Linked DNA regions of Anolis sagrei. The protein of the gene in region 3 interacts with the protein of the main gene of each other region in a pairwise test. Links are inferred from orthologs where the notes say so. Each region holds a gene or a part of one and is shown on either strand. Other genes may lie near its edges.

Evidence for each region. The genes of interacting proteins can lie anywhere in the genome.
Region 1: the proteins of FHL2 (region 3) and SP2 interact in binary tests that used the Homo sapiens proteins (3 or more experiments, as listed by UniProt). The two-hybrid records come from large-scale screens. The link is inferred for Anolis sagrei from reciprocal best matches to the Homo sapiens genes FHL2 and SP2.
Region 2: the proteins of FHL2 (region 3) and JUP interact in binary tests that used the Homo sapiens proteins (3 or more experiments, as listed by UniProt). The two-hybrid records come from large-scale screens. The link is inferred for Anolis sagrei from reciprocal best matches to the Homo sapiens genes FHL2 and JUP.

Annotation. Positions count from the first base shown.
Region 1 is NC_090026.1:34,176,632-34,184,549, reverse strand, and holds the start of SP2 (transcription factor Sp2), read left to right. Parts: upstream 1-4,752; 5' UTR 4,753-4,845; intron 4,846-7,918. UniProt on the Homo sapiens protein: Binds to GC box promoters elements and selectively activates mRNA synthesis from genes that contain functional recognition sites.
Region 2 is NC_090026.1:38,501,912-38,509,039, reverse strand, and holds the start of JUP (junction plakoglobin), read left to right. Parts: upstream 1-3,962; 5' UTR 3,963-4,079; intron 4,080-7,128. UniProt on the Homo sapiens protein: Common junctional plaque protein. The membrane-associated plaques are architectural elements in an important strategic position to influence the arrangement and function of both the cytoskeleton and the cells within the tissue.
Region 3 is NC_090023.1:105,899,772-105,907,221, forward strand, and holds the start of FHL2 (four and a half LIM domains protein 2), read right to left. Parts: upstream 3,057-7,450; 5' UTR 2,952-3,056; intron 2,944-2,951; exon of another isoform or gene 2,770-2,943; intron 1-2,769. UniProt on the Homo sapiens protein: May function as a molecular transmitter linking various signaling pathways to transcriptional regulation. Negatively regulates the transcriptional repressor E4F1 and may function in cell growth.

The DNA.
Region 1 (7,918 bases), on a different chromosome or scaffold from region 3:
TTGAAGATCAGCTGTTACCCTAGTGCTATGGACTTTGAAGAGGCATGAATAGAGGACAAAAGGAAGGAATGTTTCAAGAGGAAGGTGCATCAAGCAAACCACCTTCCATCTGGAAATCTATGTCCTCAATGTGATAATCCACATGGATTCTGGATAGGTCCCACTGCCAAGACTCTATCTCTGGAAGACAATCATATTCGGCCACAAGCAATCACTCATGATGATAATGATATAACAATATTGCTGCAGAAAGAAACCAGAAGAAAATATTCTGTTATGAAAAGTTCGTATGGATTGAAAATTTGTTGGCCCACAAATTCATAAAGATGATCACTGACCAGTTTCTATAGGCTCTAACCCAGACCTTAGAGGTTGAAGACTCAGGCTGGATCTACACTGCCCTCTATGCAAACATCTGACCCCAGATTATCTGCTTTTTCCCAGATTATTTGGCAATGTAAACTCATATAATCCAGTTTAAAGTAGATAATCTGGGATCTGATTCTGGGATTTAGGCCCCTTCTACACTGCTATATATAAAATCCAGATTATCTGTATTGAACTGGATTATATGGCAGTGTAGAAGGGGCCATAGACTAGTTTGGCAACATCCATTCCACAGGTTGAGCTCCCATGCCCATGTTTGTCAAAGTATTATATGGCATTGTAGAAGGAGGGCATAGAGCAGGTTAAATTCAGCCTTAAACTGGACCTACGCTGCCCTTTGTCCTGGGATCTGATCCCAGACTATCTGAGTCTACACTTCCATATAATCCAGTTCAAAGCAGATAATCTGGATTTTATATGGTAGAAGGGACCTAAGACTAGTTTTGCAGCATCCATTCCACAGGTTGAGCTCCTATGCCTGTGCTTGTCAAAATATCTAATGTGAAGCAATGTTTTTCCTAATGTGACTACTATGGGCCCTTCCACACAGTCACATAATCCATAATATAATGGCAGAAAACCCCGCAATATTTGCTTTGAACTGGGTTATCTGAGTCCACACTGCCATATATTCCAGTTCAAAGAAGATAATGTAGGATTTTATTTAGATGTGTGGAAGGGCCACTGATATTCCAGTCCAAAATTCATTGAATCATGGCAGCTGATGGCCCACTGATAGGTGTCACTAGTCCTTCTACTTTCTGGGTTCTAGTGCTAGTGCTCAGTTTAGTACTATGTGCATACCTTAGTAATAATTCTGGTAACAAATGTTACATCTAATAATAACAACAACAACAACAACAACAGAAGAAGAACAGGACCTCTGAGCTCACAGTATGTCTTTTGTATTCTCAAAAGTATTTGGTGCCCTCTAGAGTTGTAAGCGCTCCATGCAGTCATGCCGGCCACATGACCTTGGAGATGTCTACAGACAACGCTGGCTCTTCGGCTTAGAAATGGAGATGAGCACCACACCTGAGTCAGACACGACTGGACTTAATGTCAGGGGAAAACCTTTACCTTTACCTAAGAGTTGCAAGGCATTTTCTCTGAAACAGCACAAGAGGATGGTATCTAGTTTAGTTGTAATTCCTCCACATTCGTAGTTTTGACTTTTGCTAACAGCTGATATGCTGTTAGGAATTGTGGGCGTTGAAGTCCAAAACACCTGGAGGGCCAAAATTTGCCCATGCCTGATCTACACTATACTTACTTATTTACTTAGGCGATCCCTCGTTGTCCGAGTAGGACTGTCTTCCAAGATCGGTGTACTGGTAGATAACTGTGGAGCCCTATTCCTAATCTGCATGTTCTCTTCCAATGAGGGCACTGGTTTCCAGGTAGAAGGCGGTCCCGGTCAGGGTTGGCTTGACGTACCTTCCTCTTGGCATTTTTTTCTATACCAGTTTTTAAGGTTGGCTTTGAGCCCATCTTTAAATCTTTTTTCCTGCCCACCAGCGTTCTGTTTTCTGGTCTTGAGTTCAGAGTAGAGCAACTGCTTTGGGAGACGGTGGTTGGGCATCCAGACAACGTGGCCAGTCCAGCGGAGTTGAAGGCGGAGGACCATCACTTCAGTGCTGGTGGTCTTTGCTTCTTCCAGCACACTGACATTTGTCCGCTTGTCTTCCCAATAGATTTGCAGGATTTTTCGGAGGCAGTGCTGATGGAATTGTTCCAGAAGTTGCATGTGACATCTGTAGACTGTCCATGTCTCACAAGCATATAGCAGGGTTGGGAGGACAATCGCTTTATAAACAAGCACCTTGGTATCCCTACGGATGTCTCAGTCTTTAAACACTCTCTGCTTCATTCGGAAAAAAGCTGCACTCACAGAGCTCAGGCGGTGTTGTATTTCAGTGTCAATGTTGACTTTTGTGGAGAGGTGGCTGCCAAGGTAGAGAAAATGGTCAACATTTTCTAATGTTACACCATTAAGCTGTATTTCTGGCATTGCAGAGAGATTGGCTGGTGACTGCTGGAACAGCACTTTGGTTTTCTCGATGTTCAATAACAGGCCGAGCTTCTCGTATGCTTCTGCAAAGGTGTTTAGAGTGGTTTGTAGGTCTTCTTCTGAATGTGCACAGACGACATTGTCATCAGCATATTCGAGTTCTATAACAGTTGTAACTTTGGTTTTGGCTTTCAGTCTGCTGAGGTTACATAGCTTGCCATCTGTTCAATAGATGATTTCCACTCCGGTAGGAAGCTTCCCATCAACAAGGTGAAGTATCATAGCGATGAAGATGGAGAATAAAGTTGGGGCAATAACACATCCCTGTTTAACACCTGATTCCACCTTAAATGGGTCACTTTGGGAGCCATTGCTGACCAAGAATGTTGCCATCATGTCATCATGGAGGAGCCGCAGGATGTTCACAAATTTGTTGTTGTTGGTTGTTCATTCGTTCAGTCGTTTCCGACTCTTCATGACCTCATGGACCAGCCCACGCCAGAGCTGCCTGTCGGCCGTCACCACCCCCAGCTCCTTCAAGGTCAGTCCAGTCACTTCAAGGATGCCATCCATCCATCTTGCCCTTGGTCGGCCTCTCTTCCTTTTGCCTTCCACTTTCCCCAGCATAATTGTTTTCTCTAGGCTTTGCTGTCTCCTCATGATGTGGCCAAAGTACTTCAGCTTTGTCTCTAGTATCCTTCCCTCCAATGAGCAGTCGGGCTTTATTTCCTGGAGGATGGATGGGTTGGATCTTCTCGCAGTCCAAGGCACTCTCAGTACTTTTCCTCCAACACCACAGCTCAAAAGCATCTCTCTCAGGGAATACCATGGCTTTGACTATGCGGATCTTCGTTGCCAGTATGATGTCTCTACTCTTTACTGTTTTATCGAGACTGGACATTGCTCTCCTCCCAAGAAGTAAGCGTCTTCTGATTTCCTGGCCACAGTCTGCATCTGCAGTAATCTTTGCGCGTAGAAATACAAAGTCTGTCATGGCCTCCACATTTTCTCCCTCTATTTTCCAGTTGTCAGTCATTCTTGTTGCCATAGTCTTGGTTTTTTTGAGGTTTAGCTGCAACCCAGCATTTGTGCTTTCTTCTTTCACCTTGATTAGAAGGCTCCTCAGCTCCTCCTCGCTTTCGGCCATCAGAGTGGTGTCATCTGCATATCTGAGGTTGTTAATGTTTCTTCCAGCAATTTTCACCCCAGCTTTGCATTCATCAAGCCCCGCACATCGCATGATGTGTTCTGCATACAAATTAAAAAGGTTGGGTGAGAGGATGCAGCCTTGCCGTACGCCTTTCCCAATCTTGAACCAGTCTGTTGTTCCGTGGTCAGTTCTTACTGTTGCTACTTGGTCCTTGTACAGATTCCTCAGGAGAGAGACAAGGTGGCTTGGGATGCCCATCCCACCCAGAACTTGCCACAATTTATTATGATCCACACAGTCAAAGGCTTTAGAAGAGTCAATGAAGCAGAAATAGATGTTTTTCTGAAACTCCCTGCCTTTCTCCATTATCCAGCAGATACTGGCAATCTGGTCAAAATAAATAACAAAATTAATTTGTTAGGGCACCTGATTTTTTTGGAGGATGGTCCAGAGAGCACCGCGATTCACTGTGTTGAATGCCTTTACAAGGTCAATGAATGCCATGATCTACACTATAGAATGAATGCAGTTTGATACCAGTTTCAATGCTATGGGATCCTGGGAATTGTAGTTTGGTGAAGAACCATCACTCTTTGGCAGTGAAGATGAAAAACCCAGTAAAACTACAACTCCTGGAGTCCCATGGTATTGAGCATTGGCAACTAAAGCGGTGTCAAGCTGCATTCATTCAAGTGTGGACGACTTCCTAAAATGCTGAAGGATTCCCAGACCCAGGTGAGTCCAGGTGGTTCTTGGGGGCGGAGAGAAGTCAACCTAATTTTTCTATTGGCTGCTTGTCAAAGACTTCTCCTGCCTCCGACCAATCATAGGCCTCTGAAAATAAATCCCGCCCCTTCATTAAGCCCTGCGCGTCGGGATGTTTGTTTGTTTCTTCTCTCTTCTCCCTCGCAATCCTTTCCTATCAATCCGCGGGAGGCGTGACGTCGTTCTCAACGCCCATTGGCGAGAGTTCAAATCAATCTCCAGTTCCGCGCAAACCGATTGGGCCTCGACCTGGCGTCCGTCATTGTCAAAACTCTTCATTTCTATTGGTTCAACCGGGACACTCGAAAAAGAAGGCGGCGATTGGCGGGAAGGGATGTCAATCGTGCCGAAGGCGGCAACGTGAGTCAAGATGATGGAAGCTGATTGGTTACTCTCTAAAAATGCAGAGCAGGGATTGGCCACCCGTCAGAGGAATAGGCGGGCCTTGCAGGGCGGTGCCCGGGCTGCTGAGGAGGAGGAAGATGGCGCCGTGAGGGGGGTCCGAGCTGCTGCCGCCTCCTCTTCCCCGCCGGTAAGTGAGCCTAGCGGGGCGGGCTTCAGGCCCTGAGGAGGGGAAAGCGGTCCCGAGAAGTGGGAGTGGAGTCGCGAAGGGGAAAAAGGAGGGCTCCGTGGAAAGGGAGGGGGGCTCCGAGGGAGGGGGCCCGGCGCGCGCGAAGGGGGCTGAAGCAACTGGGACCGGAAGGGGGCGGGGCCAAGCGGAGAGCCCGCCTCCTCGGGGACCCGTCAGAATCAGGCGGGCTTCGGGCAACCAGCGTGCCTAGGGTTCAAAGGGCAGCGAAGGGATCCCGCTCAAGGCTGATATCCTGTAGGGCCAGGTTCCAGAAGCATTCTCTCCTGACGCTTCACCTGCATCTATGGCAGGCATCCTCAGAGGTTGTGAGGTCTGCTGGAAACTAGGAAAATGGGGTTTATATATCTATGGAATGACCAGGGTGGGAGAAAGAACTCTTGTCTGTTGGAGGTAGGTATGAATGTTTCAATTGGCCACCTTCATTATTTATTTATTTACTGTATTTGTATAATAATAATAATAATAATAACAACAACACTTTATTTGTACCCCGCTACCATCTCCCCACAGCCCGGTGGCGCAGTGGGTTAAAGCACTGAGCTGCTGAGCTTGTTGACCAAAAGGTCGCAGGTTCGATTCCAGGGAGCGGCATGAGGTTCAGCTGTCAGCCCTAGCTTCTGCCAACCTAGCAGTTCAAAAACATGCAAATGTGAGTAGATCAATAGGTACCGCTCTGGCGGGAAGGTAACGGCGCTCCATACGGTCATGCTAGCCACATGGCCTTGGAGGTGTCTATGGACAACGCTGGATCTTCGGCTTAGAAATGGAGATTAGCACCACACCCCAGAGTCAGACATGACTGGACTTAATGTCAGGGGACAACCTTTACCCTACCCTTTCCCCAAGGGACTCGGTGCGGCTTACATGAGGCCGAGCCCAAACACAACAATGCAAGCAATAATCACAACAATACAAGCAATTAAAATAAAACATACACGATAAACATATAACATTATCAATAAGACAACATAAAATTTAAAACTATGCCACCTTTCTCAGCCCGTAGGTGATTCAAGGCGGTTAACAGGGCAAAATTCAATGCTTACAATGTCATAAATACAATTAAAAACATAACATATAATAAACACCAACAAATCTATATAAATAAAAATGTAATGTTGGTTTGTGGGATTAACAACTCAAAAGCCACTGGACGAATTGACACCAAATTTGGACACAAGACACCTAACAATCCAGTGTATGTCCTTCACTCAAAAAATTGATTTTGTCATTTGGGAGTTGTAGTTGCTGGGATTTATAGTTAAACTACAATCAAACAGCATTCCGAACTCCACCAATGATGGAATTTGGCCACACTTAACACACAGGGCTCCCATGACAGAAAAAACTGGAAGGGTTTAATGGGCATTGGCCTTGGGTTTGGGAGTTATAGTTCACCTACATCCAGAGAGCACAAATGTGGGCTCAAATAATGATGGATCTGGACCAAATTTGGCATGAATATTCCATATGCTCAAATATGAACACAGATGGAGTTTGGGGGACATAGACATTGACATTTGGGAGTTTTAGTTACTGGGATTTATAGTTCACCTACAATAAAAGAGCAGTCTGAATCCCAACAACAACAGAATTGGGGCGAACTTTCCACACAGAACCCCCATGACCAACAGAAAATACTTAAGGCCATCCAGTCCAACTCCCTTCACCAGGGGAAGAAAATATAATCAAAGTCCTCCTGACAAAGAGCCATAGATATAGATAGATATATTTGATTCACACACAGGGAGATACAGTATCATAGATCTGAAAGGGACCTCTAAAGAAGGACAATTATATGTTGCATGTTCCAGAGTAGGCAAACCAGACAATTTCCCTATCAACACTGACAAAGAAACAGCAAAAAAATACTTTTTACCCACAAGCATAAAGACGTTACATATATTAGAAATGAACACTTCCTCATTACTTTATTTTCCAGATCACCAGACTGGGCCACAGCAACACGTGGCAGGGGACGGCTAGTCTATATAAATAAAAATGTAATGTTCATTTGTGGGATTAACATAACTAAAAAACTACTGGACGAATTGACACTAAATTTGGACACAATACACCTATCAGGCCAATGAGTGACCATCACTCATAAAAACACTGGAAAATAATAATAATAAACTGGAAAAGCTGACACGATATGAGGATTTAAAGAGCCAGTAAAGGTGGTTCCAGTGGTGATCAGCACACTGGGTGCAGTGCCTAAAGACCTTGGCCTGCACTTAAACACAATCGACACTGACAAAATTACCAGCTGCAGAAGGCCACCTTACTGGGATCTGCACGCATTATTTGCCGATACATCACACAGTCCTATTCACTTGGGAAGTGTCCGACCTGTGATCCAATTCAACAGCCAGCAGATTATCTGCTGTGGACTCATCTTGTTGTGTTCCAAATAATAATAATAATTATTATTATTATTATTATTTATACCCTGCCACCATCTCCCCGATGGGGACTCGGGGCGGCTTACATGAGGCCAAGCCCAACAATGCAGTACAATAAATGAAATAAAAAACAACAAAATCAACAACATAATAAATTACATAAAACATAAGAATACAGCAAACAATATAAAATTACAATAAAATCATTCATAACACAGGAACAGTGAGCGGGCTTCATGTACAGAGTGAAATACTAAAGCTAAAAACACGGGGTGAGATAGAGATGGAGTAGATTGTTTGTGAGGGAAAACCTCTTCAGGAATGGGGTCGAGAAGGGACTTCGTGCGGGAGAGGAGGTGTACAAATGTTGAGGGATAATAGCAATATAAGATTGCATGGTTAATCTCCAAAAGCGCAACGGAAAAGCCAGGTTTTGAGATTCTTCTTAAAACTTTCTAAAGTGGGAGCTTGCCTAATCTCACCAGGCAATGTATTCCATAGTCGGGGAGCCACTGAGGAGAAAACCCTCTCCCTTGTTCCTACAAGGCAGGCCTGAGATAACAGCGGGGGTGAAAGGAGAACATCCCCCGAGGATTGGAGGGATCGGG
Region 2 (7,128 bases), on a different chromosome or scaffold from region 3:
AGTATTTGACATTCATAAGAGAGACCAGCCAAGGAAACCCACTGGATGATTTGGAAAAGTCATGATCTCTCAGCTTCAGATGAGGGCAAAGTGAAACCCTGAATACATGAAAAGCTGAATAAATCTTGCCATGGAAACCTGTGATAAGACCGCTTTAGGGTTGTCATAAATTGGAAATGACTTGAAGGCATACAACAAATGAGAGATGGAAAAGTAGATTGGGGTCATAGGAGAGTAAGAGGAAACTGGGAAAACAATGTAACTGGAGGGTTTTAGGCATAGATTGTAGGAAGGTAATATCTGAGGGGCACGGGACTGGTAATTGTTGTGGGTTTGTTATGTTAATTTGATAGTTTAATGTTCTCTCTTTCCTTCTCTGTTAGAAAAGTTCCTCTTAGAAGCAAGGTAGAATATAAGATTTTAAAAGAAATAAACCAATAAACAAAATAAATTAAAAAACAGGGAGACGCAAGAAAGAGATATGGAGGGCAAGATTCATCTTGAAAGTGTGGCATTGTAAGAAACAAAAAGGTTTTTAAAGAACTGGGGAATAAAGCATTGAGAGCAATACATGAAGGAAGAAAAGAGTGAAGAGAAATAATTATTGCAATAAATTGGAGGAACAGGTCAGAGGTCATCTTTCAAAGACAAAGCCGCAATCTATATGACTCTGACTATTCTGCTAGGGACCTAATATTGTCACTTGCAAATGCCAGGGATTCTAGCCACAGCCTTCAGTGTGATATATTCCAATTTTATTGCCAGTATTTCTTGTTCCATTTTATATTGGACAGACTGGAATAAATGGACACAAGCAGACATCAGAAACAATTATATATAATTCAAAATAATATTCACAACTCAGTGGGAGAAAACCTCAGAGTCCCATTACATTTGCCACTGTTATCAAGGTGGCTATCATTAAACAAAAGAACTTCAAAGAACTTCAAAGTACAAAAAGACCCCTCAAAGGGAGATTCCAAAAGAACAAGTATTCATCATGAGGTTCACCTCTATCACCTCTCATTTGATTAGAGACTCAGGCTTTTTATCTCCCTGCATGTGTTAATCTGCTCATCAAAGAAATGGTTTCTGTGTTACCACTTAAATACTGTTTGTTAATGGCAACTTTTAAGGTAATAATGATAACTGCTCATAATATATTTAAAATCCGTAATGCTAACTGCTGTTTGTTAATGGCTATTTTTCATCCCTATTATTTGCTAATGTACTTCTGCTTTTTAATTCCTTCCTATCCCACTGGTTACATCCCCTGTCCACCCGCTCGGTTGCCCACCTCAACATATATTTAATAATCTACCCACTGAGCCATTAATTCACTCATCTGATGAAGTGGGAGGCATGAAAACTTATGGCACATAAAATGTTTTCAAGCGCCATGAGACTTTTGTGGCTAAAAAGGGAGCGTGAAGGGGACATTTCATTTAGAAGCAGGAAGTTTGTGAAGTTGGGCTGAGAATTTTGATCACATGGGAATTTGGGGGGCTGTTTTAATGCCAGAAGGCTGCCCTTGACAAATGTATCCTTCTGGAATACAACACCCAGAACCCCCACCCAGCATACTTTGTTGAAAAAGTGGGGTATATCCTAAAGCAATGGTTCTCAACCTTATTTTGACCAGGGACCACTTTGACCAGAGACTATCCTCCAACATTAGTACCAAAAAGGTTACGAAATGGTTTTTTGGTCAACTTTAGATTCAGTTTGCTTATTTGGGGTGCTGATTCAAAAAACTGCATTGGATAGACCACATCAGCTCTGGTTTCTGATACAGAACATATGCCATCCAGTAGTCACCATCTGCTCACCCACAGAAAACCATATTTAATAATCTCTAGAGCTGATGTGGTAGTAGTAATATTTTGTGGATGGTCAGCCTTTCCCCTCCCAACATCCCCGTTGCCTCAGCACTATAAGATGGTTCTGCAAGACCAGTCACTCTTGTTGCTGAGTGGTTTCGAGGCAACGGAGTAGTAATGGTGAGGCCACGGACCATATTTTCATGCTTGCAGACCAGGGCCTCTCCAGATGATCTGACAAATCGTGTGGGCTCATATATGGAGATGCGGTCACGCAGGTAGGCGGGTCCCAAACTGTTTAGGGCTTTGTAGGTAAGCACCTGCACCTTGAATTGGGACTGGAAAATGAATGGCAGCCAATGGAGCTCCTTAAACAAGAGGGTTGACCTCTTTCTGTAAGGAGCACCAGTTAACCACCTGGCCGCCGCCCGTTGTACCAGTTGGAATTTCTGAGCCGTTTTCAAGGGCAGCCCCACATAGAGCGCATTGCAGTAGTTCAATCTGGAGGTGACCAAGGCATGGACCACCCTGGCCAGATCAGCCTTCATGAGGTCGCAGTTGGCGCATGAGTCTCAGTTGTGCAAAAGCCCTCCCGGCCACCGCCGACTCCTGAGCTTCAAGCGTAAGTGATGAATCCAAGAGGACACCCAAACTGCGGACCTGTGACTTCAGGGGGAGTGTAACCCTGTCCAGCACAGGTTGCCACCCTATACCCCGATCCAGTTTACGATCAACCCAGGCCCGTAGCCAGGATTTTGATCCGGGGGGGGGGGGGGGGCTGAGTTTGTTTTTTTGGGGGGGGCTGAGTCTGAGTGAAAGAGGGTCTACCCTAGCAAACCTTTTGTATTGTTACCCCAATACCCCCATGCATATGGGATATATTGAGCACGGTGATCAGATCATGATATGAATAAACATAACAGTTTAAATAATGCACCAGTAAGGCCTTTTCGCGAACCACCATGAGAATTTCAGGGGGGGGGGGCTGAAGCCCCTCAAGCCCCCCCCCCCCCCCCCCGGCTACATGCCTGACTCGACCAGGAGGACCTCTGTCTTGTCGGGATTGATCTTCAGCTTGTTCATCCTCATCCAGACAGCCACAGCAGCCAGGCACTCGTCCAGCACCCGAGGGGCTTCCTTGGAGTTAGGTGGAAAAGAGTAGTAGAGTTGTGCGTCATCTGCATAGAGCTGGCACCCAACTCCAAAACTCCGGATGACCTCTCCCAGTGGTTTCATGTAGATGTTAAAAAGCCATCTGTCAGGGGTGATTTGAATGCAATATTCCTGCTTCTTGGCAGGGGGTTGGACTGGATGGCCCATGAGGTCTCTTTCCAACTCTATGTTTCTATGATTCTTCTGCAGGCTAAACATGCCCAGCTCTTTAAGCTGCTCCTCATAGGGCTTGTTCTCCAGACCCTTGATCATTTTAGTCGCCCTCCTCTGGACACATTCCAGCTTGTCAATATCTCTCTTCAATTGTGGTGCCCAGAATTGGACACAGTATTCCAGGTGTGCTCTAATCAAGGCAGAACAGAGGGCTTTTAAACAGAGGCTGGATGGCCATCTGTCAGGGGTGATTTGAATGCAATATTCCTGCTTCTTGGCAGGGGGTTGGGCTGGATGGCCCACGAGGTCTCTTCCAACTCTTTGATTCTATGATTCTATAGGCCAAAATCCTATTGGCTTGTTTTTACAAGAAGCAATATGTGTGTTTGTGTCTACACATAAATATCACACAAACACACCAATATATACTGTTGTAATGATGTTATTCAATAAAAAATATCGTTTTAATATTTCAAAAATCGAAATGACTTCTTGCCTCAAACCTTCCCCTCACCATGCGCTTCTTCTTCTCCTCTCACCTCAAACCTCCTTCAAAACACTCCCGCCTCGCCCGACGGGGACGAAACCACGCCCCTTTTCGGCCTTGGCTCCGCCCACACCTGCCGGGCATTCCACTTTCCCAACCGTTCTTTCCAGGCTCCACCTCCTCCTGCACCCTCGTCCAATCAGAAGACCCGGGCTGTAAACACCCCAGCCGGGGCGAGGCGAAGTTGGGTGGGGGCGGTCTCGCGCGCCCCCTCCCCTCGCGGCCGAGGCAGCCAATCAGAGCTCCGAGGGGCGTGGCTTGTGTCCATGGGGACCGGGGCTGGGCTCGGCTCAGTCAGGGAAGGTCTCGGCTCGCCCCCATTGTTCGCGCGGAGCCAGTCGGAGCGGAGCCAGAGGCGAGCAGGGCGGTGGCGACGGGGCCGGCAGGTGGGTGCCAAGCGGGGGGCTTGGAAGGGGGGCAGCCCTCACGAAGGAGGGGGTCGTGAGGCTTTCCGAGGGGGGTTTCCTGTGGAGAAGGCAGCCCCTGAAGGAGGGGAACCCATTCCCTGTTTCCGGAAGTGGCCAGGACTGTCCCAGAGACAACAACAAGTAACACCTGGGGACCGGAAAGTGCTGCTCAAGGCATTCAGGGTCATAACCCCAAACTCTTCTCTTTTCTCTGCCTCAGCCTATAGGATGTGGAGACCCTATACAATAGGAACAAGAGCTCCTGGGGTCGAATTGGGCGTGGTGGGAGAAGGAAAGGAAGGAACAGAACCCTCAGTAGGAGTGGGTTAATGTTAGGGAAATGTCCAAAATAGTATTTTAAATACAAGACAGGATACTAAACTGAGTAGTCGACTCACAGCAAGCAGGAGGTGTAGTGTTGTGACTGTGAAACAGGCATGGGCAAACTTCGGCCCTCCAGGTGTTTTGGATTTCAACTCTCACAATTCCTAACAGCCGGTAGGCTGTTAGGAATTGTGGGAGTTGAAATCCAAAACACCTGGAGGGCCGAAGTTTGCCCGCCGGCTGTTATGAATTGTGGGAGTTGAAATCCAAAACACCTGGAGGGCCGAAGTTTGCCCATGCCTGCTGTAAAATATTTACTGAACCAAAGATGCAGACTTTCAATTCTTACAGTTTCAAAAAGTTTATTTAAAATATATTATTTATCTAAAACATTTATATTTCGCCCTTCTCACCCCAAAGGGGACTCAGGGCGGAGCACAGCATATATATATATATAAGGTGAACATTCAATGCCTAGACAAGGATTCATATACACATACATAAACATTAAAAAACATTTATCATAATATTAAAATTCACCATTTTAAACCGTCTTGGTCATCTGCGTCAAATCTAATCCACCTGGTAATTTTTCCTATTGCTACTTTATTGTCCTTTTTCGAACGCTTGGTCCCACAGCCAAGTTTTTACCATCTTTTTTTTTCAATATTTTTTTATTAAGTTATTATACATATGCCTAAAAGAGAAAGGTTTACAAGGAAAGTGGGAGAACATTTAGATATAGGATAGTAGGAAATTTTTAGAATCCGTATATATAAAAAAAAATATCAAAAAAATAGAGAAATAATAATACTACAAAATAAAAAGGTTTTGTTGACTTCCATTCTGTGTCTTCGCTTACAAATTTTTCAGTTTAAGTTTTCTCTTCATATGTTGTTAAGATCTTTCCTTTAGATGGTTTTCAAATAGTGACCAATTTGTATCCTTTATTGGTTTTCCCATGTTTTTCTTCAAAAAATAGGTTGATTTGTCTATGTCCTTAATCTCCTGTAGTTTGACTATCCAGTCTTCTGCCTCCGGAGTTTTGCCGATTTTCCAAATTCTTGCATAAGATATCCTTGCTGCCGTTGAGATATAAGTAAATAAAATATCAATATTTAAGTCTGAAGAGAATTCTGAGTCCATAATATATTTAATAAGTAATATTCTGATTTACTTGGGAATTGTATTCCCAGTATTTTTTTTTGTGTCTCTTGGTTAATATTTTTCCAGTAATTTTGAGCTTTCTTACACAACCACCACATATGAAAAAAGCTGCCCTCTGCCTCGTGACATTTCCAACATTTCTTGTCCATATTTTTATACATTGATCCTAATTTTTTGGGTGTAATGTACCATTGATGGAACATCTTAAGCCAATTTTCTTTTAAGTCCATTGCATAGTTCAACAGTGGAACTCTCTGCCTCAGGGTATGGTGGAAGCTACTTTCTTGGAAATTTTTAAACAGAGCCCAGATGACCATCTATCAGGGATACTGATTGTGCTTTTCCTGCATGGCAGGGGGTTGGGCTAGATGGTCTATGTGGTCTCTTCCAACTCTATTACTCTGTGATTTCTTGATAGAAAATATTGGGCCTAATTTTCTCTCTTCCATTCTTCTTTATTTTTATTTATTAAAATAAGCATAAAATGTAATTTTTTGTTGCATACAGTGATAATATTGAGACATCTATTATATTTTCAAGCTGCTAAGTGTTCGTTAGCATTTCTAACACATTATCTATAATTAAGGACTCTCTGGCATCTGTTTGAGTAGGACAGGTAAGAGAGTCAGAGATTCTAAGTTAATATCAGTTTTCTCTTTGCTTGCAGCCTTATAGGATCCTCTGTGGATATTTCTACAACCAGCTTAGCTTTATTTTATTGTTGAGTTGCTGGATTGCCAGCTCCCATTCTTTAATGACTTACACTATATAAATCCTTTTGGTTTCTAGACCATTGCTACATCAAACTATATTTTCACATCTGAAAACCTATTGTTTTTAGTTATCACGCAACTGTTTGTGTAGAAAAGGTTCGGTCTAAGCTTCTCTCTAACCCTATTACTTCTAAGATTCAAACAAAATGGAAAAAATTCTAAATACTACATTTTCTCAATCATGCAGAGTAGAGAGGGTTCTGAACGAAAGGGTGAAAAAGAAGTGTGACCCGAGGCCTTAAAATGAGAGGACATGCATCCTAAAGAACTGCCATTCTATTTCATCAATTAGAATGGGGGAGAGAGAAAGCGAGCGAGAGAAAAACAGATGCATCAACAGCCTAGCCTAAGTTATCTAGTTGCTTCTCATTGAGGACTGCAGACTTGAGCAGTGTGTGGTTGAATTCCAACAGCTAAAGAGTAGACAACCTTACAATACGTCTGGAGGAAGTGAGGGGGCATTTCTTCTGGGAGAGAATTTTGACATCCCTCGTTGGGTTAAAGAGCTAATAGCTCCTTGCCCTTTAATCAAAGGTCTCAAGTCTTTGCAGTTTGGGGGTTTCCCTTGTCAGGGTAAATTACAATGATGAACAGAAGGGCTTGCATTCAAGGTGGGTCTGAAGAAGGATGTAGGGAGGGGTAAGGGTTTATTAAGACAGTGGGAAGGGAGTGGCAACAAAGATCCCACCGGAGAATAGGGAACAAGGTGCCCAAAAGGGAGCAGAAGGGTAAAAACAGTGAGATAGAAAGCAGGAAGTTAGGAA
Region 3 (7,450 bases):
AACATGAAATCGTACATGATCGTAAGATTTTCCAAAAATGCACCTGCCCGGTCCCTGCCATTCTGGGTGTGATAACAGAAGAGGCAGCCTATAAATAAATTCCAGTTATCATATTTGTATTATAAAGGGGAAACCACACTCTTCATTCATACTCAATTTCTAAAACTTATGAACCATGAAACTGGCTCAGCCAGGTTTCACTTAGCTAATCATCACTGTCAGGCAAAGCAGTACTCCTGGACTATGGAGGAGATTGATAGTACAGCAGGTCAATATAGAGGCAGACTTTTAAAAAGAAACATTCCGCTAATAATTATTTGCCCTGTACAAAATCAGAAGTTCTAATAAGGATGTAAGAAAAAAGCAGAAGGTCTGCAAAGGGTATAAGAAACTCCAAGCAATTTTGTGGACCTCCTAGCATCATGGGTATAAAAATTTAGTTTTGGGAGTCGAAATGCCTTCAAATGCCCTCTACAAGAGTGGGCGTTTTCACTAGGTTTTTTTTTGTTCCTAGAGTGTGTTTTGACAGATGGGGCAAGAAATATGATTTCTGCAAGGGGTTCAGGGAGGAAAATGTGGCTCCAAAGTTTCCTGGGAGCTAATATTTCCACATAGCCTTCTACAGTTGCCAACTCCCAGATTAAGATATAACAACAACAACTGCTTTGCAACTAGAATATTGGTTCTCTCTCTCTCTCTCTCTCTCTCTGTGTGTGTGTGTGTGTGAAAGAGAGAGAGGGAGAGAGAGAATAGGGCTGTCATTCCTGTCCAGATAGTTTTCCATCCGCATGTCCAATTAATGTAATGGCATTTGGGTCATGGATCAGACAAAGATCAAAAGAAAGTGACATTCATCAGGGACACATAATAATAATAATAATAATAATAATAATAATAATAATAATAATAATTTATATTCCACTCTATCTTCCCGGAGGGACTCAGGGTGGATTCCAAGCATAAAAGGCAAACATTCAATGCCCGAATACAACAATACATCCACACTAACAAAATTTAACCAACCCAGCATATAAACACAAATTATGACTTAACAACTAAAATTAAATGAAAAGCACAGCCTGTTATAGCAGACATAAGACAAAACATCAAACATTGAATGGAAACAATAATTTCCGAGTTCCTTGGGGCAAATCTGTTAACATCAATTGTCCCAAAGATTTACTTCTAAACTATTTAACTTATTGTATATACTCATTTATAACCGTAACCCAAAACCTTCCCTCGATTTATACATGAAATAGACTTACATATGAGTACATATGATACTTCTATTTTGAACCACTATACTGGACATAGGTTTGGAAATGGTTAGGTTGCATGTTGGCTCCTCAAACTAAAATAACATATTTTCCCATTCACTGATCTTCAGCCTTTGGGGTGTAATAGAAACTAAACAGTAAACGAAAACAATTGCCCATATTAATTTACACAATATACAAAAATTCATATACAATCCCTCTAACTCCCTTGTGTATGCATGCTTTGCAAACAAAACACAGCACTCCCTTGAGATCACTTTAAAAGGCAATTTGGTGCGATGAACGCTTTATAATGGGTGTTTGGCAGCTGTAATTGCTACTTCGCATGATGGTTATGTAGTCTCACACAGATTACTGAGCCCACTGTCTCCCTTTAGCATAGTCTTCACTACTTCAAAATATATAGCCAGGATCATCTAAGGCCTCAGAAAAACAACAAGAAAAGAATACAAAAGGCTATATAGAGTTTTGCTACCTTTTAATGACCCCGTTTCCAAATACACAGCTGCCAAAGGAACATATAAATATCTGAAATCATTTCCCCAAAACAATATAATTCCATCTCCACATATCGCAAAAGACTTCTCCTTTGTAATTGTTTACTTTGAGAGAAGAAGAAAAAAACCCATGACAAATGTGATAAACTCCACAAGTTGTCAAGCACACACAGGAGGATTGCTGAAATTCCACAAAGTTAAAGATTCCCACATACTTTTCTAGAAAAATATAGAGTTTATTTAAACAGGGAACATTTCTTACTTGCAGGTGTTCCACTTTAGTATGCAAAATTGTAGCCTCAAAGACGATAAGATAATTCTCAGTTTTTAAAACAAGCAATTGGGAGGGGTGTCTTTTGAAAATTAAAAATATTTTTTCCAGATCTACATACAGAAGTCAGATCATACAGTTATATTAAGGAACCCCCAAATGACAGGCAGTCTCTCTCTCTTTGTGATAAATGAAAAAGACAATGCATTTCAAGACAAATCATGTTAAATAATTGGAATAGCAAATCTACCTGCTGTCCCATTGAACTTTTTGTGTGGTAGACTGGAATAAGATTGTACTATTGTAGTGTAGTGGTTTGAGCATTAAATCATTGAACTGGAAGAGACCCAAAGGCCATACAGTCCAACCTCATGCCTTGCAGGAAAACACAATCAGATCACCCTTGATGGCCATCTAGTCTCTACTTAAAGACCACCAAAGAAGGAGACTCTAGAAACCACTTTGGTTCTTTGCTCAGCCTTGGAAACCCACTGGGCAGCCTTGGCTGAGTCACACAGTCCAAGAAAAGCTCCTGATAGATTTGCCTTAGGCTTTCCATAAGTCACAAATGTCTTCAAGGCACACAATAGCAATGTCACCCTATATTCTCTTCCCTTATCCAGTGAAAAGATAGTAAGACACTGAACTCTCTTGACATTTTAACAACATATAAGCATGTAAAGATAACCTCTGATGAAAGGGAACACCGGCTCTTGATTACCTGGTGTGAGGTGTGGGTTCTCTTTAAACTCTGTGGTGTATGCTGATGTTCCTTGCAAATAACAGAAGAAAGGAAATCCTCAACATTCCTTTAGGACTCTTCAGGTTCTCCCCAAAACAGCACTGCAGGGTGACAAAAGGAATGGCTCCTGAACATGAAAGCACTATCCTTTTTGCGCTTACCTTGCTGGATGGCGTCTGTGTGTTCCAGTCAGGGAGTGAGGCGAGACAAAGGCCGGCACGGAGGCTTACTGCTTTATTGGATTACCCAAACTATGTATTTAGCAATTAGACTGTCAAGAGTTCCCTTGCCAGATGAGCTATAAATACAGTTATCTCCAAAGAAGCAGCCATCCTGAGCGATAAGAACCAGAGCATCTCCGCAGGAGACGGCCTTTTAAGGAATCATTTGTTAATGGGGCCATGCATTTGTGATGGGAGCAAGAACAACTTTGCTCCCTTTATTCGTGAGGCCATTCCGTATCTTCCACAGGGCTAAGCATGTTTCTCTCTAGAACATTTTTACAACCAGTGAGTCCTATACAAAGCTTAGACTGATTTTTTTCAGGACTGCAACTCCAGAATGCCCAGTAGCCATGCTAACTGGGGTATTCTGCATACTACTACCCACAGAAATAATTATTATAAATGTTGACCACCAATTGGTTTCTGTTTTTCCTGCCTTCCACCATCCTGCATTCAGAAAATGATCTACACTTCAATTCCAACAATGATATACACTCCTGATTTGACTGCGACAGTTTTGATTAATTCTCTGTCAGCCCACTTTCGCAGTTGCTTTGAAAATGTTCCAGTTTCTGACTTCTCCTCCCACTTTTCCCTTTTGTCCTTCTTCAAATGATGCAAACTAAGGGGCCTTCTACACATGCAGTAAAACCTGGAAGTAACTGGGATAAAAGGGAGTGGGATGTCTAAAAGATGTTTGTAGAAAGTGCAGAGAGAATCGGATTAACAGCTGAAAAGCACGTGTTTAAAAAGTGAGCTTAAAACCCGATTCTGCCCAAAAAATGCAAATCTATGTGTAACAGTATATCTCTGCAATCATGGAAAACACATGACTTCCTTCCCATCCCCTGTGTGGACTGCTCCAGCACATGTGTTTTAAAAGCCCAAAACTGTCAAAAATTGAGTCATGGACACATGGGTAGCTAACAGGAAGCACAATCAGAAAGCAATTAGAACTCTCTGCAACCATGCCTTTCTTTCTTATAATATTAAACAAAGCTTGAATTAACAGTTGGGTGAAAAGAGAGATTAGAAATCTGCTTGTGTGTAGTAGATCTCTGCATGTGTGCATATGAGATCCAGCACATTTCTGAGAGAATTTCTTTTTTCAAAAACTTCTACTGGATGTTCCTCTTCCCTCCCCCATCTTGATTTGCTTCAAAGGAAGGCATAAGGATGGTGAGGGACCATATCCTGGGACTGACAGGTCTGTGTGTGAACTTGCTCTCAGATCCAGGATTTTTTCCCCAGTTTTTAAACTTGCATTTTGAAGCTATCTGGAAGTGCCTTAAATTCAAAATGCAAAATTTGCTTGCAGTTAAGAGGCCAGAGTCCTGCCCTTCCCACTAGACTCAGGCAAAGTCAAATTGCTGTTGCTTCTCCCAGCTTGCCTGTTATTCACCATTATATTAATGGGAGTTGCTCTATTGTAGCTTTGCTCAGATGGCATTTCTTCGAGTCATGATAAGTCTTCCTGTGAATAATAGTGTGCTTATGAGTAAGGCAAAAAAACTGTGTTTAGTAAACCACATATACAAAGGGAAGATACCGAGGAGAAAGGAGTGTTTGGGTACCTTCCAGGTGATGGTCTGAGCTCTATCAGTCAAAAGGCATATTCCTGGTATATTGATAAATGCCAAATAAAGGAATGCTTGAATAGGGTCTTCATAGGAATGTTTAAAGAGGTCAAGGCCTCCATACGCACTCAGTACTGCTATTTAATCTTTTATTCCTTATTGGCTTTGTGTATGTGTGTATATCAAGGGGAAAAAATTGAAGAAGCACAAGAGGATTAGAAATGAAAGATCACCCAAGCAACTGTGGCTTTGGGTTGGAAAGACCATAGAAAGTAGAAAGTTAAAAAATGGTGTGAATATTTAGCAGATTATATGCTTCAGGATTACATCTATGAAAGAAGAACCAAATATACAATAAGCAGATTTAAGAAGACCTGGGTTCAGAAATGGGAAAAAGTGATAGAAAAAGTCAAATGAAACAAAAGATATAAAGAGCTGGACCATTCTCTTTTCACGATTGTTCAATTAAATTAATATCTGCATAATGATAAGTACTGTTCCCTGAGGGTGGGGGAGGGGGGAGGAGGTGAGGGGTCTAAAATTGTTAGACAAAAGGGGAGGTAAAGATGAGATTGATAAGATGAAATCTGACATTGTCTTCTCTCACCACTACATCTCTGTGCTCAAGATAAAGAATGTAGCCTGGTCAGTGAAGGAACATGATGGGAACAATCCTCTTCTTGAAGCTGCTACCTAAGAGCCCTTCCACATACCCTATATCCCAGAACATGCACTCAGATAAGCCAGTTCAACTATGGACTCAGATAAGCCAGTTCAAAGCAGATGTTGTGGAATTTTCTGCCTTGATATTCTAGGATATAGGGCTGTGTGGAAGGGTTGGGTCCTATAACTTGTCCCAACCTTTTCTTCACAATGATAGGTTCCAGAGTTTGGAAAATGTATTTTTGCAGGTTCTGGAAGTCTGGGAATTGAAGAAAGGTGGCATATCTGAAGTCTTGGGATGTGTTTTGTTGTATGGTACACCCACTCAGAGAGCTATCACTCTGCATTGTTATAGAGCTATAATTCCCTTCAACAACCATTACAACATTATATGAAATCCTAGAATTTGCTAAATCCCAAGATTTTGCATTTAGGAAAGGGCATTTAGAATTCTCAGACAGAGACTTCTTGAACCTCACAAAACTACAAAGCTCAGAATGGGAAAGAAAGTTGTCATGGTAGTTAAAGCAGACAATATAACAATATAGTGTGAGATCTCCGTTTATTTTTAAGAGAGTTGTGCACTAACCCATGCTTGCCTTAGTAAGTAGTGGCTCATTCTGCTGTGGACAGAGAACCTCTTTTATGCTCCTGTTGGAAACTGTTTGGAGGCTCTCTGGGTTCTGTGGCCCAGAATGTGAGTTCCAGCCATAACTGAGCTACTGAGCACTTGGCAAAATCACCTCTTTTAAGAGGGAATTGTACAAACTCATTCCACATATACTTACACAATTTTAATGGTAAGCCAACATATTGGTTTCTTTTTTAATTGTCTCTACATGTATCTGGAAGTTCCATCTGTCTCCATGTGTGATGTTACCTGATGTGCTTGAGATAATGTCCTTAGTTTGCTAAAGACAATCCGATCAGATTGGGAGCATGCTGACTGTCAGAGGGAGCCCTGATCTCCTTAACCTTTAAGACAAAAGCTCTATTCGGATGTGCTATTATTTGGCCTTAATTAGCATGCATAGAGCAAGAATGAGTAAGACTTTGGTTGCTTTTCTCATCATCCTCCAAATGTCAGAAGTGTTCAATTTTTTTTGAGCGACAATTCCCAAATACGCCAGCCAGCATATTCAGTGGTTCAGCTTGTAATAAGCTTACTTTTTCCAATAATAAAATATGACAAAGCTTCCCTATGAGGTTGCTCAAACAGATAACAAACTCTGAGTTCCTATCAACTTTGGACTTCCATCTTATGGACTTACATATTTGTAGAGAAGAGTGGAGGTCTGTCCCTATAGCGATTGCAATAAAGCCTTTCAATTGCAAATCACTCCATGAAACTTTTACTCCTTCCCATCCCATTGTTTTCTTGAAGTGTTCTTGACCCCTTGTAGCTTGCCTTCACATTCATCACACTGGGGAAGGCTTGTCAAATTCTCTCTGTTTCCCCCCTCTTCTCTATCAGCCGAAAAATCTCTCTTTTTCTCTTTCTCTTTTTTCTCTGCTGCTTCTGCCACCACCTCCCCAGCCAAACATTGCTCTCCATTGCTCTCTGTCTGCAATAGCTGTCTCTCATTTTGCAGCAATGAAACACGACAGGGGAGTATAGTTTCTATTCCATGTGTTTTAGCCTTAAAAAGTGGATCAAATCACAACAGCAGCTCAAAAGACTTTTACTCAGCCATGGTGGGAGCTCCTTTCTTCAGGCTCATTTCAATGATGGATGGAACACATGGCAGCTGAAAGTAGTTCAACATCATGTGATGGGCTCCATGCCTCTCCATCTCTGAAATGTGCCTGAAGTGTGTTAAGGTTTCTGTAAAGCCAGCAAGTAAGTTTTGTGGGGGATTACTACCTTCCCTGCACCAAGTGTGTTAAGAGAAAAAGGATTCATTCTGGTGGTTATTATATGCAGGTTACATGAATGTTCTCATTAAAGTCAGTAAGTCTGGGCCACTCCTGGTTGGGTATAACTAGGTGCCTATTGGGATACATGATGCACTCCCTCTTTTGCTCTCTGAGTATGGAAGTTGGAGAAGCAATGCCATCTGTGTTGGCATGATTGCATACAAAGACTATGTGCGTTCTGTTGCTCTGAAGGATTGTTATCTTGATGCAATGCCACAAGCTTATCTTACTGTTTTGAACTCTGCTGAACAAGATTTATGTTTCCTTTTTGTGCGTTGC